2 linked regions of the Pelodiscus sinensis genome follow. The protein of the gene in region 1 interacts with the protein of each later gene in a pairwise test. Links are inferred from orthologs where the notes say so. Each region holds a gene or a part of one and is shown on either strand. Other genes may lie near its edges.

Region 1 (10,955 bases):
AAGGGGTCATCGAGGCACAGACCATATAAAGAACTTGCCAAAGGTCACTCAGTGAATCAATGGCGATGTCGAGAATAAAGCCCTGCTCTCTTGATACCCTCCCCTGCATTGTAACCACTAGACATTCTTCCCCTACTGTGGCACATTGAAAGTTAGTCAGCAGTGGAGAATGCAAACCACAGAAAAGAGGGGGCTCTTAAATGACTATGGATAAAGCACTGGGATAACAGCCAGGGAGTTACTTTCAGAGGTTTGGCAATCACCTGGTTTCCTTACCTTTGTGGAATAAATTGCTAAATGGGCAAGTACTATCTGTGGAGAGGGAACTCTGAATCCTGAATTTTCAAATAAACTCCCCAAATGCTGCCACTCCAGCCAGCATGAGGCCTGGCACCCGGGAATTAGAACAGAAACACTGATGCCGTCCTGAAGGCGAGATGGGCCAGTAGTGCAGTGTTGGAATATCTACTAGATCACAGGCACAGACAAAGCCTGGGGCTCAGAGGTGCAGGAGGTGATTAAAATTGTCTCTGTGGGATTTGAACTCTCGTTCTCTCTGGGCTGGGTTTTGTTCTTTGAGTGTTTGGCTGTAAACACATTGGTGTGTTTAATGTAAATTCCTTCTTACGCCAGGCAGCCCCGTCTTGCTGATTGTTCTGTACAAAGGGTGAGGTTACTCTGGCTAGCACTTCGAAGAAGCAGGGGTCAAAAGGTGGACGGAGGCAGAGTGTGATCCAGAGGCCTGGCTTGGAAAGTGGCTGCTGGGTCTGACTCAGTTTCCCCATCTGTAAAATGGAGATGGTGATACATGCTCAGAAATCACATAGAGATTAACATTTTTTGCAAAGCAATTGTGGTGTTGCTGATCAATGCTAATGCTAGCAACCTAGATCAGCTTTGCACCTCTTACCAACCCTTTCAGCATCTCTTTCCCCTGTGGGGGGATGTTGACAGCACTATCAGTAGAGAAAGTGAACTCCCTAACAAATTAGAGAGAGGCGGTACAATCATAGAATCCTAGGGTTGGAAGAGACTTCGGGGTCATCGAGTTCAAACCCTGCACAAAGCAGGACTAACCCCAACTAAATCATCCCAGCCAGGGCTTTGTCAAGCCAGAACTTAAAAACCTCTAGAGGTGGAGATTCCACCACCTCCCTCGGAAACCCATCCCAGTGTTTCCCCACCCTCCTAGTGAAATGGTTTTTCCTAATATCCAACCTAGTAATAGCCCATATGAAGCCAGCCCGGAGCCCTGCAGATCCTGGTCTATACAGATAGGCCATATCTAGGAATGTGATGGAGGTGGAGAATTCTGTAAGGGGGAACATGAGGAAAGTGACGCTGAGGAATAGGCCTGGGGGACGAGATACTACAGGAGAAAGGAAATGCAGAAACCTGAAGTTAAAGACAGACTGTGTGAGGTGGAATAAGAACTGGGAGTATTAGAGGAAGTAGAGAGAGGTGCAGGGAATGCGTGCGCGTGCGCTTGTGTGTGTGTGTGCCTGTGTGTGTTTGTGTAAGGTGTGATGGTATGGTGGGGCGCAGATTTGGGGGGATAAATTAGCAGAGAAAGGGGAGGACAGTGGCAGGAAGGGGGGAGGGATGGAGGGACTAATAACCAAAGGGAAAAGCAAAGGCACAAGGCAGGCAGGAAGGGAAAATAGAAACTGATAGCAAGTGAAAGCGAGAGAGGAGGAGGAGAGCTGTTACACACAGCCACAGCTACAAAGAGAGATGGCGTACACATGTACAATACATTTTATTGTATTACCCAGTTGGACAAGAGGAAGAGTTGAAACTAAGCCTATTGACAGGAGACCATAACTTGGTTCCAGCACTGATTAGAGAGGGAATAAAAGGAGAGATTTTTTTATCCTGTTCCATTCCTACTCATTGGCTTAATTCTAGTCCCATGTTAGTTAATAGGAGCTTTAGCACAGAAGGATGTCAGTGGGAGCACAAAGCACTCAACATTCTGTAAAACTTTTTGCAGGGGATGAGGAGAAACCCGCCTTGCCATTTTAGCACAAGTGTCATGTTTGATGTTTTCCCTAAAGCACCAGCTCCTGAAGTCATATGAAAACCTCACTTTTTTTTTAAGATGTACATTTCTAGCCCTCATAGTTACAGAGAAAGAATTGAAAATATGATGTGAGTGCAACTTACACGGTCAAAAGTAGGAAGGAAAGAACCCTTGACTGGTTTAAAAATCATGAAACATTTGAATAATCTCATGATTTTGGAAGGGCTAGTTCATGACTGTTGAAGGCTTGGGGATGGCAGAACTGAGAAACTGTTCTGTGATGTGGCTAGTGAGTGTAGTTTGAGTGTTTTGCTTTTCAGGCCCAGAAAGATCCTAGGAGAACAGAGAGGAAACCGTCCAGCTATTTTTAAAGTTTATAGTTTGTAGTTTATTTCCTGTCATGTATTATTTATTACCCATTATCATTAGTATTATTCTAGGGAAACTGTATTTAGTGGCCAACCAAGGGACCAGCAAAAATTAGTCATCTAATGGCGCTGCATATTTTAGTAAAGGTCAGACACAGTTGAATTGGAGGCTGGTGCGTAGGGCAGGGATCTACTAACAGAAAGTGATTATGTGCTAGATGCTGTACAAACACAGATCAAAATGGCAGTTTCTGCCCCAAAGAACTAAGGGTGTGTCTACACAGCACCCTTTCCTCGAAATAAGCGATGCAATTTGCATTATGCGAATTGCATCGCTTATTTCGAGGTAGTTTGGAAATAGCTTATTTCTACACAGCGCCAAATTTTTAAATAAAGTGCTATTCCAATAAGTTCCTTAACCCTTGTGCCAAATATTTTGAAATAATGGGCATGTTTTAAAGATGCGGAATAGCTGTTTTGGGATACTTCTGGGATCCCAAAATAGCCCCACTGTCTATATGTAGCCTAAGGGTGTCTGCACTAGAGAGTTTATCGCAGCACATCTGTACAATTCAGCTGCACAGCTGTAAGAGCTCTCATATAGCTCTTCTATGCCGACGGGAGAGAACTGTCCCATCAACATAATTAAACCGCCACCAGTGAGCAGCAGTAGCTGTGTCCACAACCTAGTGCTGTGCAACCAAAGTAAAATGATGTGTGTTTCCTTGTATAATTAAGTTGTGACTCCAAATGCAGTGAGCGCTAAGCAAAGTGCCACATTTATTCCATCTCATGATGCCAGCATGTCTCACAATACTGTCCAAGCACCTGACAGACCTTTGAAAGTTAGCTTTTCTGCCGCCCTGTTCAATGAGAGTGTTTTTAGCTCTGTTTTAAAGATGGGGAAACTGAGTCACGGAAAGGGTTAAGTGACTTGACCAAGGTCGCACAATGAGCCAAGAACAGAAACTAGAGTTCCAGGTCTTTGTTGCCAGAGCAACCTTAGAGCCAAAGAGAGGATCTCCCTAACAAGAATATTCCCAGCATAAGGGAACTTGCTGAATAACCTAGAGTCCCCTCCCCCTCATGGAGGTGCGAGGGAAGAAAGGAAGAAAGAGTCAAGACTGAGTGAGGCATACTGCACACAGGCTATTTATCAGGGAACCCTTTGAGGGTGAAGGGCAGTTAGAGCCATGGACAAATTTAGCAGTCACACACATGGATTGCCAACTCTCACTATTTAGGAAGTACAGTATACTTTCTACGTGTTAAACAAAATCTTTTTTTTTTTTTTTTTTTTTTTTTTTGCTGAGTCCCTATAAAAATACCCAATCAGCCAGTTTCAAAGGAGTGCCCCTATTCATCTCCCCATGTGCTCCTATTTATAGCTTCCAGATGTTGGCAGGATTTTGTTCAAAAACAGAAAGGAGGAAAAGTGTACTGATTGTAGATTCAGGTTCTCTGCTGGTTTCCTGCAAACTCTGCTTTGTTGAAGTTCCTACATTGGAAGAAAACAAGGAAAAATTTCTAGCTCTCCAGTGTCTGGGCTGAACATCTTTCAGAGTGTCAACTGATACACCATTGTCCCTTTTGAGTCTGCAGATAGAGTGGGACAATAGCGTGGATTACTCTCACTTAGCACAGGGGGCTGTTAACTTATAAGTTGAATCATTATCCCTTTAGTCTTGGCTTTCTTAACCCTTTCTTTACCCATCATCCTGGCTGAAACTTCCAACTGCAGATGTGCTCATCTAAAAATGCAGCGGGATGCATTGAATGCATCATGATGTTCTTGTAGTGAATATAGTTGTGAGGTTTTAATACACAGAGAGTTTAATATTCTTTCAGCTGTTCAGAAAACTGAGACATGAAAGTCCATTTGGGATTAGAATTCCATGTTTGCAGGATTGCACCTTTTAGCAGCCGTGACAGCTAATGAACTGTTTTTCCTGGTTCCCTTTGTACTTATAATAGTTACAATATGTGGATTCAGCGTCCCTTGTTTGAAGGCTCCAACCCCCTCCCGGCTCAGGCACTGTGAATCTTGTACTGAGCCAAATTCAGCTCTGCTGTAAACCCCTTTACATGGGAGTCTTCACTTTAGCTCCTTGATCTCAGGCCTTCTGCGCGCAGGGGGGACCCTAGGAATGGCCATGCAGGATCCAAGCAAGCCCCAGTCCTGTTACTAGTTTGCTGGGAGGTCTTGGGCTATTTACTTCAGCTCCTTGTATCTCACCTTCCTCTTCTGAACATGATGGTACTGACCAAGACCTGCTTCATAGGTGGGCAGCTGTGTGTAGTTAGATTGTATGCCTCCCAGCATTTCCAGTGGCCAAAGTGGGACATGTTTGGCCCCTGGGGGTGGAAGGCGTGTGTGTGTGTGTGTCATCCGCTGCCCCAGTGGGTCTGTCCTGGATTCACCTCTCAGCAGCTGTCCTGTGGGCCTGGCTGTGCCCAGCTCCCTACGCAGCACTGAAACCCTGGGCACCAGGGACCAGGTTGCAATGCCCAGAATGGGGACCAAGCCCAGCCAGCCCTTTGGGACAGGAGCTTTTTCAGCAAAGAGATGGGAGTTTCACGGGTCAAAGCAGGGACTATAGGGAGAGATGTGACTATTCAGTGTTTTGAACATACAAGGTGCTGTCTAAGGGTTAATCTCTCTGCAGTCTCGTCTGTAGCACAAAGCTGGCAGTGATGTAACTAAATCAAACTTAGGCGTATTCAGAAACAGAATTATTATTATTATTCAGCTTGGGTGGTGCAGACCACCACCCTCCTTGTGCTAGGTCCTGTACAAGCACATGGACAACAGACAATCCCCGCTCTATGGAGTTTATCTTCTTGGTTTTCTTGATTTGATTTGATAATTTACCAACCTAAATTAAATCAGCTTCAGCCAGGCATGGGGGGGGGGGAGGGGGGGGCTGAATCTATCTGATTGGTACGGCTGGGACTAGATTGATTTTAAATAGATTAAACAAGGAAGAGTCTTGTGAAGCCTTAAAGACTAACAGCTGTATCTGAACATACACTTTTGTGGCTAAAAATCACGGTCAGGCATCGAAGTGGTTTTTACCAACCCAAGTTTGGTTCGTCTCTAAGATGCCACAGGACTCCTCCTTGTTTTGACAGACAGACTAGCAGGGCTGCCCCCTCTGGGACTGAAATAAATTGAGTGACGGGGGCGAGGGGGGCGCTTTTCTGTTGCAGACCAGCCCTGCCTCTGGCTGTGCGCAGGCGGCTGTGTGTTTCTGCCATTTCGAGCTCCCTGCCGCTGGAGGGGCTGGTTTTCAAGAGCTGCCGCCAGGTTTCGCAGGGAGCCGAGCTCTCCCATGGAAGGGCCTGACTCCCTCCAGGGCCCTGCTTCCGAGGGTGCCGCAGCCGGGAGGGCGAGATCCTGACAGCGGCGCTTTGGAGAGCCGCGCGCTCCACCTCCCCGGCGTGGCGCTGTGTAGCTCTCGCCTCCCTTCCCCGCCCCCTGCCGGAGTGTCAGCGCGGCTCCGGCTGCCCTTCCCCTGCCAGTCCAGCGCCTGGCTTTGCCGGCTCCCGGCGCAGCAGCGCGGCTCCCCGGCGTGGGTGGGAGCGGGCTGCCCGGGGCTTGACAAACCCGCTGCGCGCAGCCAGGAGCGCGGACGCCGCGGCGGCTGGGGAGCGAGGCAGAGCCGCGCCGCGCCGGGTCCGCATGGGGGGCTCGCGTCCCGGCGCCTTCCCATGGTGAACCGAGCGCGGGCGGAGCGGCGCCATGCCGAGGCGGGCAGCCCGGAGAACATGTTCGAGAGCTCGCGGCGGACGAGGAGCCTCTGGGACGGCGTGAGGCTGGAGGTGGCCGGCGAGAGCAGCAGCCCCGTGGTGCTGCACAGCTTCACCCAGCTCGACCCCGACCTGCCGCCGCTGGAGGTGAGGCGGCGCCGGAACCTGGCCCCGGGCGAGCCTCAGGGTGCGTGGGTGGGTGAACATCACTGGTGCAGTGAGCTGCTGGGTCTCAGCGGAGCTGTCTGGCGGAGCCGCTGAGTCTAGAGCGGGCATCGCTTTGCCAAGGTCCAAATGTGCTGGGCAAGGTATAGCCAAGGGCCAGACACAATAAAAACAACCCCCCTCGGCCCCCCAGTAATTGTAAGTCAATCAAAAGATTTCGGGGTCTGTTCGAAAGCACATGGTGGTGGGGCTGTGGCCCGCCTGCCTCTTGATTAGGCTGGTTTGGACAGTGTGAGCCCCTGCCCCACAATTTGTGTGCAGGCTTCGTGTTTCATTCTTCTCTAAGCGACCCCCTCTTTATGGAGGTCAGATTCCCCTTGGATTTGGTGCTTTTGGGTTGTTGACATATGGCTAAAACACTGGGAGGAAGGGGGGGTCTTAGCTGATTTATGTTGCAGGTGATCATTGAGTGTGTGGTGTCATTTTACTCACTGTAACCACGGGGCATGGGCATGCTGCCTTTTCTCAGCATAGGGTCCCCCAGGCTGGTTTGCAGGTGGTAGGAGTTTGTACGGTCTCTGCCCAACAGGTTTCTGATGCTGGTTTATGTTGTGCATCTGATGCCCAGAAGCTGAGCCCTGGCATGGACCGGGAAACTGAAGCATATGGTGCAGGCTGCTCCGGAAGGAGAGGAGCACAGTCGAAAATATTCTGGCAGTTCTTTTTGCTTTTATGTCAGAATGGTAAATAGCTGCCCTCTGTGATCTCTTTACTCCCCTCTTATGCCATTATCTTTCTGGCAGGCTTGCTGCCAAGCTGGAATATCTATTAGGAGAAAGCAGAGAGATGCGCGCCATCTGATGCAGCTAGCAGAAGGGAGCAGAGAGCTAGAACCAGGGCCTTTTAAATATTTTATTTGAGAGTCTGGCATCCTGCTGGAGGCTTGCTGTACCGTCTGCTCAGACTCTAGCTGCCTGTGAAGGCTTCGGGCCTGCCCAAGTTGCAAAAAAAGGACCCAAGCAATATCCTCCCCCGCTGTGGGGATTGGCTTGTAAGACACTCAATGGAGGATGAAAAACAGCCATACTCTAAGTCTAAGGCACGACCCTGGATCTTTCTAGGACGCACTGGCCCTCTGTGGCTCTTGCTGGCTTCAGATCACGGGTTTGCTGGTTGGAATTGCGGCTGTCCTTCTAGGGGGATGAGTGGCACACAAAGCAGCCTGCTTTTTGCCAGCAAGGAGTTGGGAAAACGTGGGGAACCCTAATCGAATGAGCAGTTCAGGGAAGGGAGATTGCATAGCCCAGCATAGCATAAGTAAGGGAACATGAGGTGCTCAGGTCAATGTTGGAGACCCACAAAGCATCTCTTGGTATGTCTCAGCAAGCCAGGTCTATACCCATCTACTGCTTCTCAGTTCTCTGGGTCAAAAAGAGCATTGTGCCCTTCACCTGCTAGGATAGTGACTTTGGTGCAAGGTGGTGTATGTGTTCAGGAAACTTCCACCCATCCCTGGATAACTAATGCTGCGTTTCACAGCTGGCTCGTTCGTTTTGTCTGGTTCTGTCCATTGGTTGGATAGAGGAAGTTAAAGCATGCACCTGTGCTCCCGAGGTGAAGAAGAGGTTTAAACCAGAACAAGATCCATTTCCATTAGGACTTACAGCCACCATGCTTATCCAGTCCTGGATCTGTCTTGCTGGAGAGAGGGTCACCACTAAAACCTCTGGGGTCACTGTGTAAGTAGCTAGGAAGGGAGGGAAGACAAGATTTAAGTGAGTTACAGGGCAGAATAGATAGCACTGTGATTAACAGCCAGGCTCGGTGGTAGAGGCAACTTCCTTACACATGTCCCTGCCCAAGTGGAGCCCATGTAGAGCCCTGATCTCTCAAAATCCCAGATAGGAAAGAGGATTCTTGTGGTATTGATTGTGTCATCCCACACCTGGTTTGTCTGGTCCTCTCACCCCATGGCAGGTACTCCAGGGATCGTCCCCATCAACTCTGTAAAAAAAAAAAAAAAAAAATCACCATTGAGTCTGTTTTCTTCCCTCCCCCTTCTCCTCTCTCGGGGGTGGGCGTAGCGACATTGTTTAGAGCACATCATCTGCTTCTTGTTATGTCTGGCAGGAAGTCCAGCCTTGTAGATCCCCCTGCGCTCGCTCGTGGGGCCTGGCTCTTGGCTGGGAGAGCATTCAGCGCAAGGATATGGGGGTGGGGAGGGACGCCATTCTACTCATGGCACTTCTTGTGGTGGAAAAGTTGTTGCGCGTACTGAAGCCCCCGTACACTCTGGCCCAGGTCTCTGGGTTCAGAAGTTTGGCAGGACCCCAGGACTTCCAGTGGGATCTGAGAAGGGGAGATTGGCCGTGTTGTGTAGGAACAGAGCTGACTTGCATCACCCCCTGCTGGCAGTCTTATGGCAAAAACATAGACAGAGGCCCCTGCTTGGATATTTGGTGTGATTGCTGCCCCCCTCACCGCCCTCAATAAAATATTTGAAGGACTGCTGGGTTGTCTTTCTGGGGCTTCTCCGTGCTTCTCCTTTTTGTTGATTGGAGGAAAGAGGCGTCTAGTGGTTAGAGCCAATAGACAAGCCATTAGGATTCTTGAGTTCTATTCTGACTCTGCCACCCCCTCCCTGTGTGGGAACTGACAAGTCACTTCCCCTCTCTGTGCCTCAGTTTCCCCATTTACAACATGGGGAATACACCACTAAGATGGGTGTTGTGAAATGAATTAGAAAATGGCTGTGAGCACTTCAGAAGGACCCAACAAAGTAGGTCTTTGCCCACGAACGCTTATGCTCCAATTAATCTGTTAGTCTATAAAGTGCCACAGGACTTCTCATTGTATTTGCAGATTCAGGCTAACACTGATACTTGTCAGAAGGACCATGCTTGGACAGCGTTGTTACTGTGATTGTATCGTTTAAGAGCCTATTTGTAGTTCAGTGTTTTGTTGTGACAAAACAACTGGAGAATGGCAAACGGTTAAACCAGTGCCTATGTGTTAATATAAAAAAGCACTTTGTTTTCCAGACTAGGCTTTTATGCATCCCTGATGCAATCCTTTTCTATGCAGTGTGCACAGCTTCATTGACTTCAGTGGAGTTGCACTGCTTTCTACAGATTCAAAATCCAACATGGGATCAGTGCTCGTGACAGGGATTCGTGAAAAGCTGTCCATGAGGTTAAGTGCATATTCTCCTCCTCGTGGCCTCAGCTGATCTCCTGCTGATGCCTATGGAGCTTGTGCTATTTCCAAGGCATCATCCTGATGCCTCCATTCAGATGCTGTCAGACTCACAGACTGCATCCCCTTACGTTGTGGGGAAGCTTCAGGGGGTAGCCGAGTTAGTCTGTTACAGAGAAAAACAACAAATGGTCTAGTAGCACTTTATAGACTAACAAAACATGTAGCTGGTATCATGAGCTTTCGTGGGCACAGCCCACGTCTTCAGATGACTGGAGTTATGAGTTTAAGATGTGAACACTCGAAATAAATAGGAAAGGGGAAGGTGGGGGGGGAGAGGAAGGAGAGTGGGAGACAGCGCATCATTAAGTATCTGGAGAATGGGTACTTAAACCTAAGCAGATAAAAATCAAAGTCAATAGATAGATTCCCATGTCAGGAAGGATACTACTCATGCTAGGTTGCAGGAGCAGAGAACCTGCCCGCAAAGGGCTCTCCTCTGAGTGTGGTAGTCTCCTACAGTTCATAGGGCAATCATCACTGGCATTTCCTGGATGAGGATCTCTACCTGCTGGCACCCTACCAAAAGGTGCAACCTGGCTCCCGGGCGGGGCGGGGGTGTGTGTGTGTGTGGGTGTGGGTGTGTGTGTGGGTGTGTGTGTGTGTGTGTGTGTGTACGCGCGCTAGCACCTGCAGAAGAACACAGAGCTAGGCTGGCCAGATTTTTTGTTTGATCCCATTAAAGTAGGATGGGGGAGAGGCTTCTAAGTATGTTTATATAAGGATTGTGTTACCTGGAGATGGCTGTCTCAGGTTTCTGTAGAGCTCCGATCTACTTGAGGCGTAAGGGGAGTTAGTGCTGGATTGGCAGCTCTGAGTAGCCTGCGAACCATCCACGGGCAGAGATAGTTCAGGCTTCCCCACCATCATGATCCTAACTCCTGCGAAGGGTTAGGAACAGTGTTTCCTGTAAGCTGAGCGCTTGGCCAACTACCCAGGAGAGATTCTGGTGCCTCCCAGCTGATTGGCAGAGCACCCACAGCCAGTGGCATGTGTTTCTACCGGTGTTGCACATCTGCACATGCATTGCTGCACATAACAAAATTCGTTCTGCACATAAATGGAAAAACTTAGAAGGAACATTTGTTAGGAGGGAGTTGTGGGTGTTCAGCCTGGTTAGATTACCAGCAAGGGGACTGAGTAGTTCCAGTGATATTGGCGATTCCAAGGACCTGGATGCTGTCAGATTCATTTCACAACTGCCTGTCATTAGCACCAGAGTGTTAGATTTGAGCCAGTCACTTAGGTGCTGAGGGCCTAATCCAAAAGCCATTGGTGCTAACCGGAGTCTCCTTTGCTCCTTTCTCTTGCTCAGGGTATTACCACAGGATCCTTGAGATTAAACCTCAGTGAAAGAGAGAGGAAAAGGGCAAAGTAGTATTGGCTGTTTACTG
Region 2 (10,980 bases), on another chromosome or scaffold:
TCCATCATCCGTCCTGATGCCTCTCTATCAGAGGCAGCAGCACGGGGGCCCCCCACTGGCTCCTGCCTTGCCCTCCTTGCTGCCTCTGATATAGTATTCCACATGCTGACATTCCTATATTCCACTATTGCTATGCCTGTCAGTTGCCTCATGTAAGGCAACTTGCGATCAGCTCGACCAGAAGTTTAAGAGTGCATAAGACATCTCAGCTACTTTAAAAAGAAGTGAAATCAAACCTGTGACTCAAGACTGTGTCCAAAACATCCCTTACTCTCATAGATACACTGGAACTGAGCAAACACAAGGCTCTGTTTCTAATTCAGCAGGGATGCAAACACACACCTCCTGCTCAAAACATATATCCAATGTAGACTGAAAAGTGCCATTAACCAGAGTCACATATTGAACTTTAAGGTTCTGTTATTATCATAACTATATTGCAAGTTAGACAAAGAGGTATGTCACAACTTCAGTGATACTATGTCAGTAAATTAATTTAGTTTTAGTGGAAAGTGAACTGAGAAATCTAAAACAGAGTTGCTCAACCTGCAGCCCATGGCTTGCTTCAATACAATATACTAATGGCAAATTAGCACTTTGCCAATATGTTTATATCATTTTAGCTTATACAAGTGTGAAAACAGACACTATTGCACATTGAAACAACCTATCTAAATACATATGAAAACAAGTGTAACTTGCAATTAAAAAAAAAAAATCCACAGGTGACCTTAAATCTTATTCAAAGATGTAAAATGTTTCTAGACCAGCGGTTCTCAACTTTGAGCGCCGGAGCCCTTTACATGCGTAAAAATTTATGCGGAGCCCCAGCAGTCCACTGATTGTATGCATTGTACCTATCCATGTTTTCAGTTTGTCAACCTCGCAGAGCCTAAGCAGTTTGAAAAACACTGGTCTACCCAAGGCAGGGCTTATGTGGCTCCTTTTAGGGATGTTAAATATTGGTTCATTGATTAGTCAAGTAACCTCAAATTCTTATTGGTTAGTCAACTATTCAATAGTCCCTGGGGCAGGGATGGCAACCAGTGCGCTCCGGCCTTACTCCCAAGAAGCCCCCTGCCATTCTGTGCTGCTGCCTCTATATCAGAGGCAGCAGCACAGGGTGCCAGGCGAGAGCGGGTCCATGAGGGGAGCCTGTTTAAAAAACAACTCCCCTTACGTCACAAGCCACAACTGAGCTGGGCAGCTGGCCAGCCTGCTAAAAAATTTGTTGGCGGGAGGAGAGGGGGAAATGCATGTAATCTATAGCATTAACCTATAAACTTTTGCTTATCAGGGGTTAACTGACACTATTACATCTCTAGCCCCCCACATGTAATAAAATTGGGCACCACTATTCTGAATTGTGCTTTAATGCCATTTTTGTCTACAAGGAAGAATGGGGGCGGGGGGGAGAGAATGCCATTTTTGTCTACAAGGAAGAATGGGGGCGGGGGGGAGAGATTGTTGAGTTAGTTGTTTTAGTTGATTCTGATTACAGAACTAGCTGTTAGACTATTAGAGTACTGAAGTTTAACTTTCTTCTCTTTCAAACCTCTCAAGATTTTTTATTTTCCTTTTTGTGGGCTTATTCGCTCCTAGATTAATACCTGTGCTGCTATTCCAGCAAATCTCAAACAAAACTGAAACAGTAGTCCACTTTACTTGATACCAACATTTTCTCCAACAGCACAAAACAGAAATTGGCTCATACTGGCTAAATTTTACTCCAGGTCTTGAATTGTCCTAATAATGGGGGTTTAAAATAAGGTAGTATGTATACATCCCACATGGCAATAGTACAGTAGAACCTCAGAGTTAAATATACCTGAGTTACAAAACAGACTGGTCAACCACACACCTCCATTTGGAACCAAAAGAACACAATCAAGCAGCAGACAAAAAAAAAAACACACTATACATTACTGGTACATATAAAGGATTTGACAAAGTAAGGAAACCATTTATGTGCTTGTTTTTGTTCAAATTATGATTAAAATCAGCAATTTCTTCTACATAATAGTTACAAAGACTATCACATCAATGTTAAGCTGTAAACTTTTGAAAAAAACAGTCAAGATGTTTTGTTCAGAGTTGTGAGCATTTCAGAGTTACAAGTCACCTCCACTCCCAAGATGCCTGTAACTGGGACACTACTGTTGTCAGTACCCACTCAGATTAACACTAACAAGATTACCACGCCTAAAAGAAGAGTTTTGTTTACCTTCTGAACATTTTATAGCACTCTGTGATAATCAATTTCATCATACCCTCTGTATAGTCACTTTACCCTTTTGTTGGGTCTTTTTTTATAACAATGGAGTCAACTAATATGTGAACAATATAGAAACATAAAACCATGAAAACTGGTAGTCAATGGGAGACTATTAGGATGGCGTGTGTGGGCAAGGCGTTGGAGCACCTCCTCCACACAAAGGGTGCTCCTCAAAGTTGCTTTGAGCAACATGTGGGTCTATAACAGGAAGGGAGCCTGTCTGAGGGTCCCGCTGGACTACAGCAGGACAGATCTAGCCTGCAGGCTGCCCGTTGTAGGCTACTGGCAATTGACAGAGAAAAAAAAACTAGAATCCTGAGCAAAATAAGTGAAAAACATTTAGAAGCACTGAATTCAGCACTTTACTTAGGTTTCCATCTAAAATGTATAAGTCAAAAACTTTTAAACTGGGCATTAAGATGTTTTAAGTTTACCAAAGATAGAAAAGTCCATTCCAGTGTCAATGTGTGACCTTGTATTAAGAAATATAACTGTCTCATTTGACTAGTTATTGTGCAGTACACGACATAAGTTGGTAAAAATAAGTAGGGCAGTCAGGAACAGGAGTGAGCAATAATTGTTCATGGAGGGCCCACTCCAAGATCTGGTAAGTGGCCAAGGACTGCACTTTTCTATGGATGTGGTGCAGAGTCTGAGAGGTTGGATACAGAAGAGAGCTAGGGGTAGGGGACTGGGATGCAGGAAAGTGTGGGGTCTGAGAGGAAGTTTGAGTGAAGGAGGAGATTGCAATCAGGGGCAGATGAATGGTGTGTTGGGTCAGGGAGAGAGAATGGGTGCAGAAGAGGATTCTGGCTTGGAGTACAGAGTCTGGGAGGGAGTTGACCTGGAGGAGGGGGGTGCAGAGGGTATGGGTGGTGACCTGGGACAGGAAGTTGGGGTATAGGAGGGAGTAGAATGGCAGAAGCAGGCTCCAGCAGGTAGCTGCTTACCTAGAGGGCTCCCTGCCAGCAGCCCTGCAGGACCCCAAGGCAGGCACCCTATCTGCTGCAGCCCTATGCTGCTCAAAATGGCTGGACACTCCCCATGACGCTCTGCTTCAGGCAGAGCGAGGAGAGGAGGATGAAGTGGCTTTGCACGTTGCCACTACCCCCACCACAATTTCTTAGCTCCTACTGACCAAGCAATAGGGGCTTAAAGTGGTGTGGAGCTGCTTTGCGCCCCAGGATCCCAGTGCGAAGCCCACAAGTTGGATTCAGCCCACATCTTGCCCACCTCTGGTCAAAAAGCATAGCTGAAACTCAGAAGTGTTTACTCAAAAAAAAAACCTTGGAATTTGTGTACATGCTATGAAAGAGCCTTGGAAAACATCAATTCCATTAGCTTTGTCTGACTATTTTAACACACACCTATTATGTGGCCCCACATATACAAGAACTGGTTGCTAGATTTAATTCAATGTGTCATCAAAACTTCCAGATGTGTGTCCAAAATCCACTAAAACGCTTGGTTTATGATGTTGTCTAAATCGTCTTTTTTGAAGCCACATAAAGTTACACACTTATACCACAATATAGAAACTCTTTTCAAAATGAAGAGTCATATTTTCTAAATAGCATTTATTAGCCATTCATTTAAAAAAGTCAAAGAACATCAACATTTCAGTAAATGTTGCATAGTCCACTTTGTCAATTTGGAATACAGTATAATCATCACTTCCTGAGAAGCCTAGATGGTTTCAACAAAAATACCGGACACACTTGACATTACATTACATCTTATTTAGAAAACATTTATATTTTCTAAATTTGTTTCCCAAACAGAAAGCACAAATACTGGATTGTGCGGTTTAAAACTGGACACCTGGCAACCCTAGCAAAGCCTAATTATATTCTTCTGCAGCATAAATTTTGACAACATTTTGACAACATGCTGGTGGCATGGCAATCTTTCTAAAATATTGTGGGGTTGATGCAGAAGTTATTGAGTGTGGTTTTTAAGCCAGTATTGTGTAGAAATTCAAACTAGATAATCATGATTGCCCCTTACAGGCTTAAGACCTTTTTTCCAGACTTAAGACCTTTTCTTAAGGTCTGGTGGGGACAAGGACCAGAAGATTCATAAACATTAAAATGACTGCAGTGTTGTCTATTTACATTGCAAGCTCTTTCTGGGCAGGTTCCGTGCCTTCTTAGCCCCACGACCAAAGTACAGTTGAGGCACTATATAAAACACAGAAAACCACAAGTTTTAAAGCAAAAAGAGCTCCTGGCATGAAGAGAGAACCTGTAACAAGGTAAGATCCAGCACAGTCTCAATGCGTTACCCGTGATGCCCAGACTTTGGGGGCCGACACCATGGCCGGAGGATCGCCTCAGTCCAATACAAGTGACGAGGCCTATGGTGCCAGGCTGGTGGACACTCTCCCACGCCGAGGGAGGATGATGGAAACTGTGAGCAGCAGCGGCTGATACGGCCGGACTAGGTGGGGCTGAACTCAACTTCCCACAGCGAGCTGCCACCGCGGGAGCGAGAACTTTTCTTCACAGCTCGCCCGCCCGCCGCCCCTGACCCCCACCCCGGCCGGCCCAGGCGAGCAGCTCAGAGCTGCAGGGTTACAACTTTCCGCTTCCGCTCCAACTTCGGGGCGAGCGGGCGGGCGGGCGCCGGGCACCCCCAGCGCGAGGGGCGGGGGAGCGAGCAGCAGCCAAGCCCCAGACTCCGGCCGCCCGGGTGTCCCCGCTGCCGGGCGCAGGAGGCGGCGGCCGCTCTCGGTTCCTGCTCCGCCATGTTCAGGCACCGGCCCCCTGTCCGCACCGCGCGCTCTTCCCGCCGGCGGGGCCGCCGCCCCGGCCCCTCCACCCGCCCCGCTCCCACTGCCGCGGGGCCACCTGCGCCAGACACACGCCGCTGCCGCAGCCACCGCCCGCCCGGGGCTGGAGCGGCCCCCTGCTAGGCCCGGCCGCCCTCTCCCCCGCCACCTCCGCCTACCGGACAGCGCCGCCGCCGCCGCCGCTCCCCCCAGTCGCCTCCTGCCCGGCCGAGCCTGCTCCGCACGCCCGCTCCCTCTCGCGCTGCCGCTGCCTGGGCGAGGCTTGGAGCCGTCGTCGTGACGCCGCACGCCGAGCCTCGCTCTGGTTCCCCTACCCCGTTCCGGCGGCGGCGGGGGTGGGGGGGAGAGGAGGTAACTTCGCCGCCCTGCTTCCAAACTGCGCACGCGCGAGCCCCAGCCTCGCTGCGCACGGTCCCGCCCTCGCTTCACGCAGAACCTCTCCCCTCTCGCGCCCATTCCGGCCGATTTCCGCTCCCCGCCCGCATCGGGTAGTGGCGGGGGGAGGGGCAGGCACGTCTCCCTGCCAGGGTCCCGGGGTGGGGCCGAACTGATGGAGGGTTGCGGGCAAACAGGGCAAAGAGGCGCAGGGGGGAGGATGTTCTTGCACTGCCTCACTCCCTGTGCTTTGTACTAGGCATGCAATAGTGTAGCTGATTAACCTGTAAGCAAAAACTTAGAGGTTAATGCGATGAGTTACTTGCATTTCTCCGCGCTCCCTCCCCCTACTCAGTACATTTTTAAGCAGGCTAGCCAGCAGCCTGGCTCAGTCCTAGCTTGCCACAAGTCTGGCACCTACCCGTGCTGTGGCTCTGCATTTAAAGTGCATTGGGGCTGGGCCGGCAAACAGCCCAGCTCAGTTCCAACTTGCACGGGTCCAGGAGCTCAGACTTCCACCCAGACAAGAGCTGCTGCCACCCTATGCTGCTATCTTTTTAGCAGAAGCAACAGCACAGGGTGACAGGAGCAGGAACTGTTTTTTAAACTGGCTCCCCTCACAGACCAACACCTGCCTGATACTCTGCACTGATGCCTGTGATATAGAGGCAGCAGCACGGAGTAGCAGAGGGCTCTTTAGGAGTGAGGTGCACTGGCTGCTGGACCCCACCCCCGGGGGCTATAGAATAGTCAACTAACCAATAAGAATTCATAAGGTTAGTCGACTATTCAGTTAAGTGATATTTAACATCCCTAGTTTGTACCTGCTTGTGACCCACATTTGCAGTATCTGTAGACGTTGGCCCCCTAAAAGCTCTTTCTTCACCCACCTTGTTTGTTTATATGGAGTCATTTTTACCCCCCATGCACCATGTCACACCAAATGGTTCTCACTGACTTGCTCCGTTAGCCGCAACTGCCAGCATGCTCTGAGGGCTCAGGCCTTACCGTACTACCCTCTTGCCTGCCCCATTCGGGAGTAGGATTTGCATAATTGCAAATGACTCATGAATGGCATCCATTGGCAACTTATGTAGGCAAGGGCAGGCATTGCCTTCCCACAAAGACCAAGGTGGTCCCACCCATGCTCATGTACAGCTGCTGTAATAGGCCAAGGAAGGCAATGCCTTTGCCTGGTGCTGTCACCAACCCACTGCAGGACAACTAGCACACAGTCCACCTTTAGGGCAGGGGGAGCTGGCACTTGGAAAGGCTGCTGGCAGCTTGGCCCAATGCTAAGAACAATCTGGCACTCAGGGAGAGGGGATGCAAACAGGCACTGGGTGCAGCCCGGTGCGCAGGGGAACAGAGGTTCAGTCTGGTGGGCTAGGAGGGAGGGTAGTAGCAGCAGCAGCTTGGCCCATTGTGGCTGGGGTCAGGCCAAGGATCCTTTGGTCTTCAGGCTCCTCCTTAAGGCTTTTCTTTTTACAGGCAGGGGGAGAGGCTTTAGGGCTCTAGCATATGGGGACAGGGTCTTAGGGAGCAGGTGGGCATGCCTCTTTAAAGCAGTCATTCACTTGTCATCCATGCCCAGCTGGGAAAGCTGAGGCCATATGGCTTCCTGGCAGGCCAGGAAGGCTGGGGCATGGCTGCCCAACTGCTCCTGGGGCTGGAGCCTGAGCCACACAGCTGCCCTATGGATCAGTGTAGCACCAAAGCTATCTGGCTGCTCCAGAGTCTGAGGCTGTGTGAGAACTGGGGCTGTGCAGCTGCCCGGCACTGGGGGAGGAGGGGAGGCACTAGCCTTAGGCAGGGGCCAGCAGCCATGCTAGTGGGGCTGGGGTGCAGGGCAGAGACCTGTCGCCAGGTGGGCATAGAGTGGTCAGGGGCAGGCTGGGACTTCGTCCCCAAGTCAGTTGTTCACCCACTATCTCATATTGGTATCTGTATCCTTGTCATAGACTGCCTCAGAGTTTGGGGAACAAAATGAAGTCTTCCTGTGGTATTGCCATCAGTCAGGAACTGAAATAGAAGGCTAGTTCTAGGAGAATTTTGTCTAGCAATGTAGGAATTGCCCTATCTACTGGATCAGCATTATGGTCTGTATAGTTTTGTTTCCTATGTGTCTCCAACCTAGGCAAGCATCAGATTCTTCAAAAAGAAATGTAAGAAATCCCATATAAGGGGTTATAGACATATAAGGAGGAATCTGTTTCCCCACCAAGGTTTTAGCCTAATTTTAATAGTTATAGATTAGTTAAAACCATGAGATTGGTTTAAATCCTGGTCTCAACCTATGAAGAAAATAACTTTAAATTATTTTTAAAAATCTGTGGGGAAAATGTAACATTAACATTAACACAAATGCATATATCCCCAATTCTTACCCACATTTGTGCTCTGAGATCCTTGGATAATTGGTGTCATATAAATACAAAATATTATTCTGGACATACCTTATTAAGCCTTCCAACACTTACAATTTATCATTAGCTTCTATTGCCACAGGGCAGGAGACCTATTGAAGTTGAAGGACCTATGACCTTTCTTGATCCTTCTCCTCCAATTTATTAGTGTAAAATTGTCAAATATCAAAATGCCTTTTTTCTTAAAGTCACAAGTGTTCTCTCTCATTTGAATAAAATATTTTTAAAGACTTAAGTATTACAAATAAATTACTTATGTATATGATAAATACTTTGTAAGCAAATGGTTAACCTGTGTACAGATAAAGCTCTTGCTCAGAGGAAGTTCACCACAGAATACATGAAACTGACAGGAAGTTGCATTGAGGTTGTTGGCAAAGGGAGTGGGTGTGGAGGAAGTACCGGCTTTCTGTTTGCAGTACAGAGATAGACAAGAGGAAAAAAAGGATATATTTCCCCAAATTGCATGCTAGTGGAAAATTATTTGAAGTCCATAAAACTCATGATAAATTTATAGTAAATACTATCAGAGCATTGGAGCAGAGGTGGTAAAAGTGCACCAAAAGAGCATACAAATCTCAGTATTAGATGTTCCCTCTGGATTTAAGGCACCAAGCAAGTGACACAGAAATTCTTACTTTTACCTTAAAATATTTTTCTTCAGAGCATTGCACTAAAATAAAATCCAAAACATCATAAAATCTCTTCCAAAGTCTAGACAAATGTCTTGATGTTTTACAGCTAAAACCTGTACAGTACTTTGATAAAACTAGCTAAAAAATAACAACTTTTTAAAAGTACATCAGAAGCAGGAAGACTTCTAAACTTCCAGTGGGACCACTAGATGATCGAGATGCTAAAGGAGCACTCAAAGATAATGTCATTGTGAGAAACTAAGGCTACGTCTAAACTACAAAGATTTTTCGAAAGAGGATGTACAAATTCCTTTTCTGATCGCATTTTTGAAAGAGGATCTTTCAAAAGTGAAGGTAGTCTGGATACGGGGTGTTTTTTTGAAAAAAAAAACCTTTTTGGAAAAAAAACGCTCTTCCTAAAAAAAGGATGTTTACACAGTTTTTGAAAAAGGTTTTTTCCCCGAAAAAAACACGTCCAGACTACTTTCACTTTCGAAAGATCCTGTTTCGAAAATGTCATCAGAAGGAATTTGCATATCCTCTTTCGAAATCAAAACATAGTCTAGACATGCCCTAAATGAATTCTTTGCATTGGTCTTCACGGCTAAGGATGTTAGGGAGATTCCCAAATTCTTTTAAATGACAAATCTGAGGAATTGTCCCAGATTGAGGTGTCATTAGAGGAGATTTGAGAACAAGTTGATAAACTACCCAGTAACAAGTCACCAGGACCAGATAGCATTCACTCAACAGATCTAAAGACTCAAATGAGAAATGTGGAACTACTAACTGTGATTTGTAACCTAACATTTAAATGTGCTTCTGTACCAAATGACTGGAAGATAGCTAATAAGATCCTTTTTTGAAAATTGATATCACAAGTAGGGATGTAAGCAACGAGTCGACTAGAGATGTGACTAGTTACTTCCCCCCCTTGCTGTCTCTATCAGAGGCAATGGGGGGGGGGGGTGAGTATGAGAGAAAGATCAGGAGCTGGTGCTGGTGGGAGCTGGCTTAAAAGCTGGCTCCCCCCAGCATCATCTCTGGGAGGGTTGGGGAGGTAGAGATGTTGTACCAAATAAAAGCAAGCAGGATCTTATGAGGGGGATAAGGCAAAAAGCCACATTTATTGTAAAGATAATAAAAATAAAGAAAAGATAGAAGCAAACAACGTTGTTTAACTACTTATTCCTATCACTACTTAACCCTTATACACTTGTGTGTATATATATATATATATATATATATATATATATATATATATATATATATATATATATATATATATAACCATTCATTCATACATCCATTCATTCAAGTTCTGTGTATAGTTACCAGCCTGGAAGTTGCTTGTGACAGGATACTGGCCAGGTACTCTGTACACAAGTGATGGTAGTGGGGAGCGAAGTCCTGATCAGATGTGCATCTGAAGCTCCTGGTAGGCTGGCAGCAGAACCTTGGACTCTGATTCCATAGTTTTTTAGTCCAGTTCTTATAGGAATTTCTTCCTATGCCAGTCTATGGAAATTGCTGTATCATGCTGATGTCTCCAGGGTGGCTGCCAGGTGCTCATCAGTGAGCTCATCGGGTGGACCTCCAGTTTCTCCACTTGACACCTTTTGGTTGCACTGGCACCTGACGCCTTCTTCAGCCCTTTGTTGCTGTATTCTCAGGCTGGCACCTCTTAGAACCATTCACTCATCATCCAAGCACTCTCTCTCTTACATACATTCCTTAATGTTTCCCATACAATGTTTTTGTATAATAATAACTTTACATATATCAGAGTTGTAGTTACAAAAAGTTTCTGGTAATAATAACTTTACATATATCAGAGTTGTAGTTACAAAAAGTTTCTGGGTGGTATTGCTTAAAACATTCTCTGAGTGCTGAGTAAAGTTACAATGTTTTAAAGAGAACAGGCGTCAATTAAGTAACAATGCCCTTAGTCAATTACAGGGCTTGGCTCCCATAGCAGAGTTAGTGGTTTGACAATGCATTGTTACAATGTATCTTTGCAATGTCAATTTCAAGCAGCCCCTTGCACAAACTTGAGCATGCCCTGGAGCACAGAGGGGGGGGGGGGGGGGGCTGTTTCTGGTTACATAGGATTATATTTTTAACAGTTCTAAGTTACATTACCTAATACATTATATTCTAAAGGGGCAATAATAATCATAAATCTAAACATTTAACAATCTTAACAACTAATAATAATAATAAGAAGAATCCTAATAAATCTAAACACTTTAAGTTGTGGAGAACAAATTATGGGGAGTCACTTCCATTTGGGGGAATCACATTTTTAATACATTAATATGTTATCCCTACAGAGAGACAGTGGGAAATGGCATGAGCGGATACTGAAGCAGTCTCCACTTGCGCTGCTTCTGCTGCGATTCTGCTTTTGAAATGTACAAGAGCCCCAGTGGGTTAATGATTGGTCTATAAGGGCACCTCCGCCTTTGAATTATAGCA

Evidence for each region.
Region 2: the proteins of RALGDS (region 1) and RAP1B interact in binary tests that used the Homo sapiens proteins (3 or more experiments, as listed by UniProt). The link is inferred for Pelodiscus sinensis from reciprocal best matches to the Homo sapiens genes RALGDS and RAP1B.

The regions. Positions count from the first base shown.
Region 1 is NC_134732.1:15,949,550-15,960,504, reverse strand, and holds the start of RALGDS (ral guanine nucleotide dissociation stimulator), read left to right. Parts: upstream 1-5,588; 5' UTR 5,589-6,102; coding exon 6,103-6,288; intron 6,289-10,955. UniProt on the Homo sapiens protein: Functions as a guanine nucleotide exchange factor (GEF) activating either RalA or RalB GTPases and plays an important role in intracellular transport. Interacts and acts as an effector molecule for R-Ras, H-Ras, K-Ras, and Rap.
Region 2 is NC_134711.1:63,351,151-63,362,130, reverse strand, and holds the start of RAP1B (ras-related protein Rap-1b), read right to left. Parts: upstream 5,402-10,980; 5' UTR 5,225-5,401; intron 4,456-5,224; exon of another isoform or gene 4,390-4,455; intron 1-4,389. UniProt on the Homo sapiens protein: GTP-binding protein that possesses intrinsic GTPase activity. Contributes to the polarizing activity of KRIT1 and CDH5 in the establishment and maintenance of correct endothelial cell polarity and vascular lumen.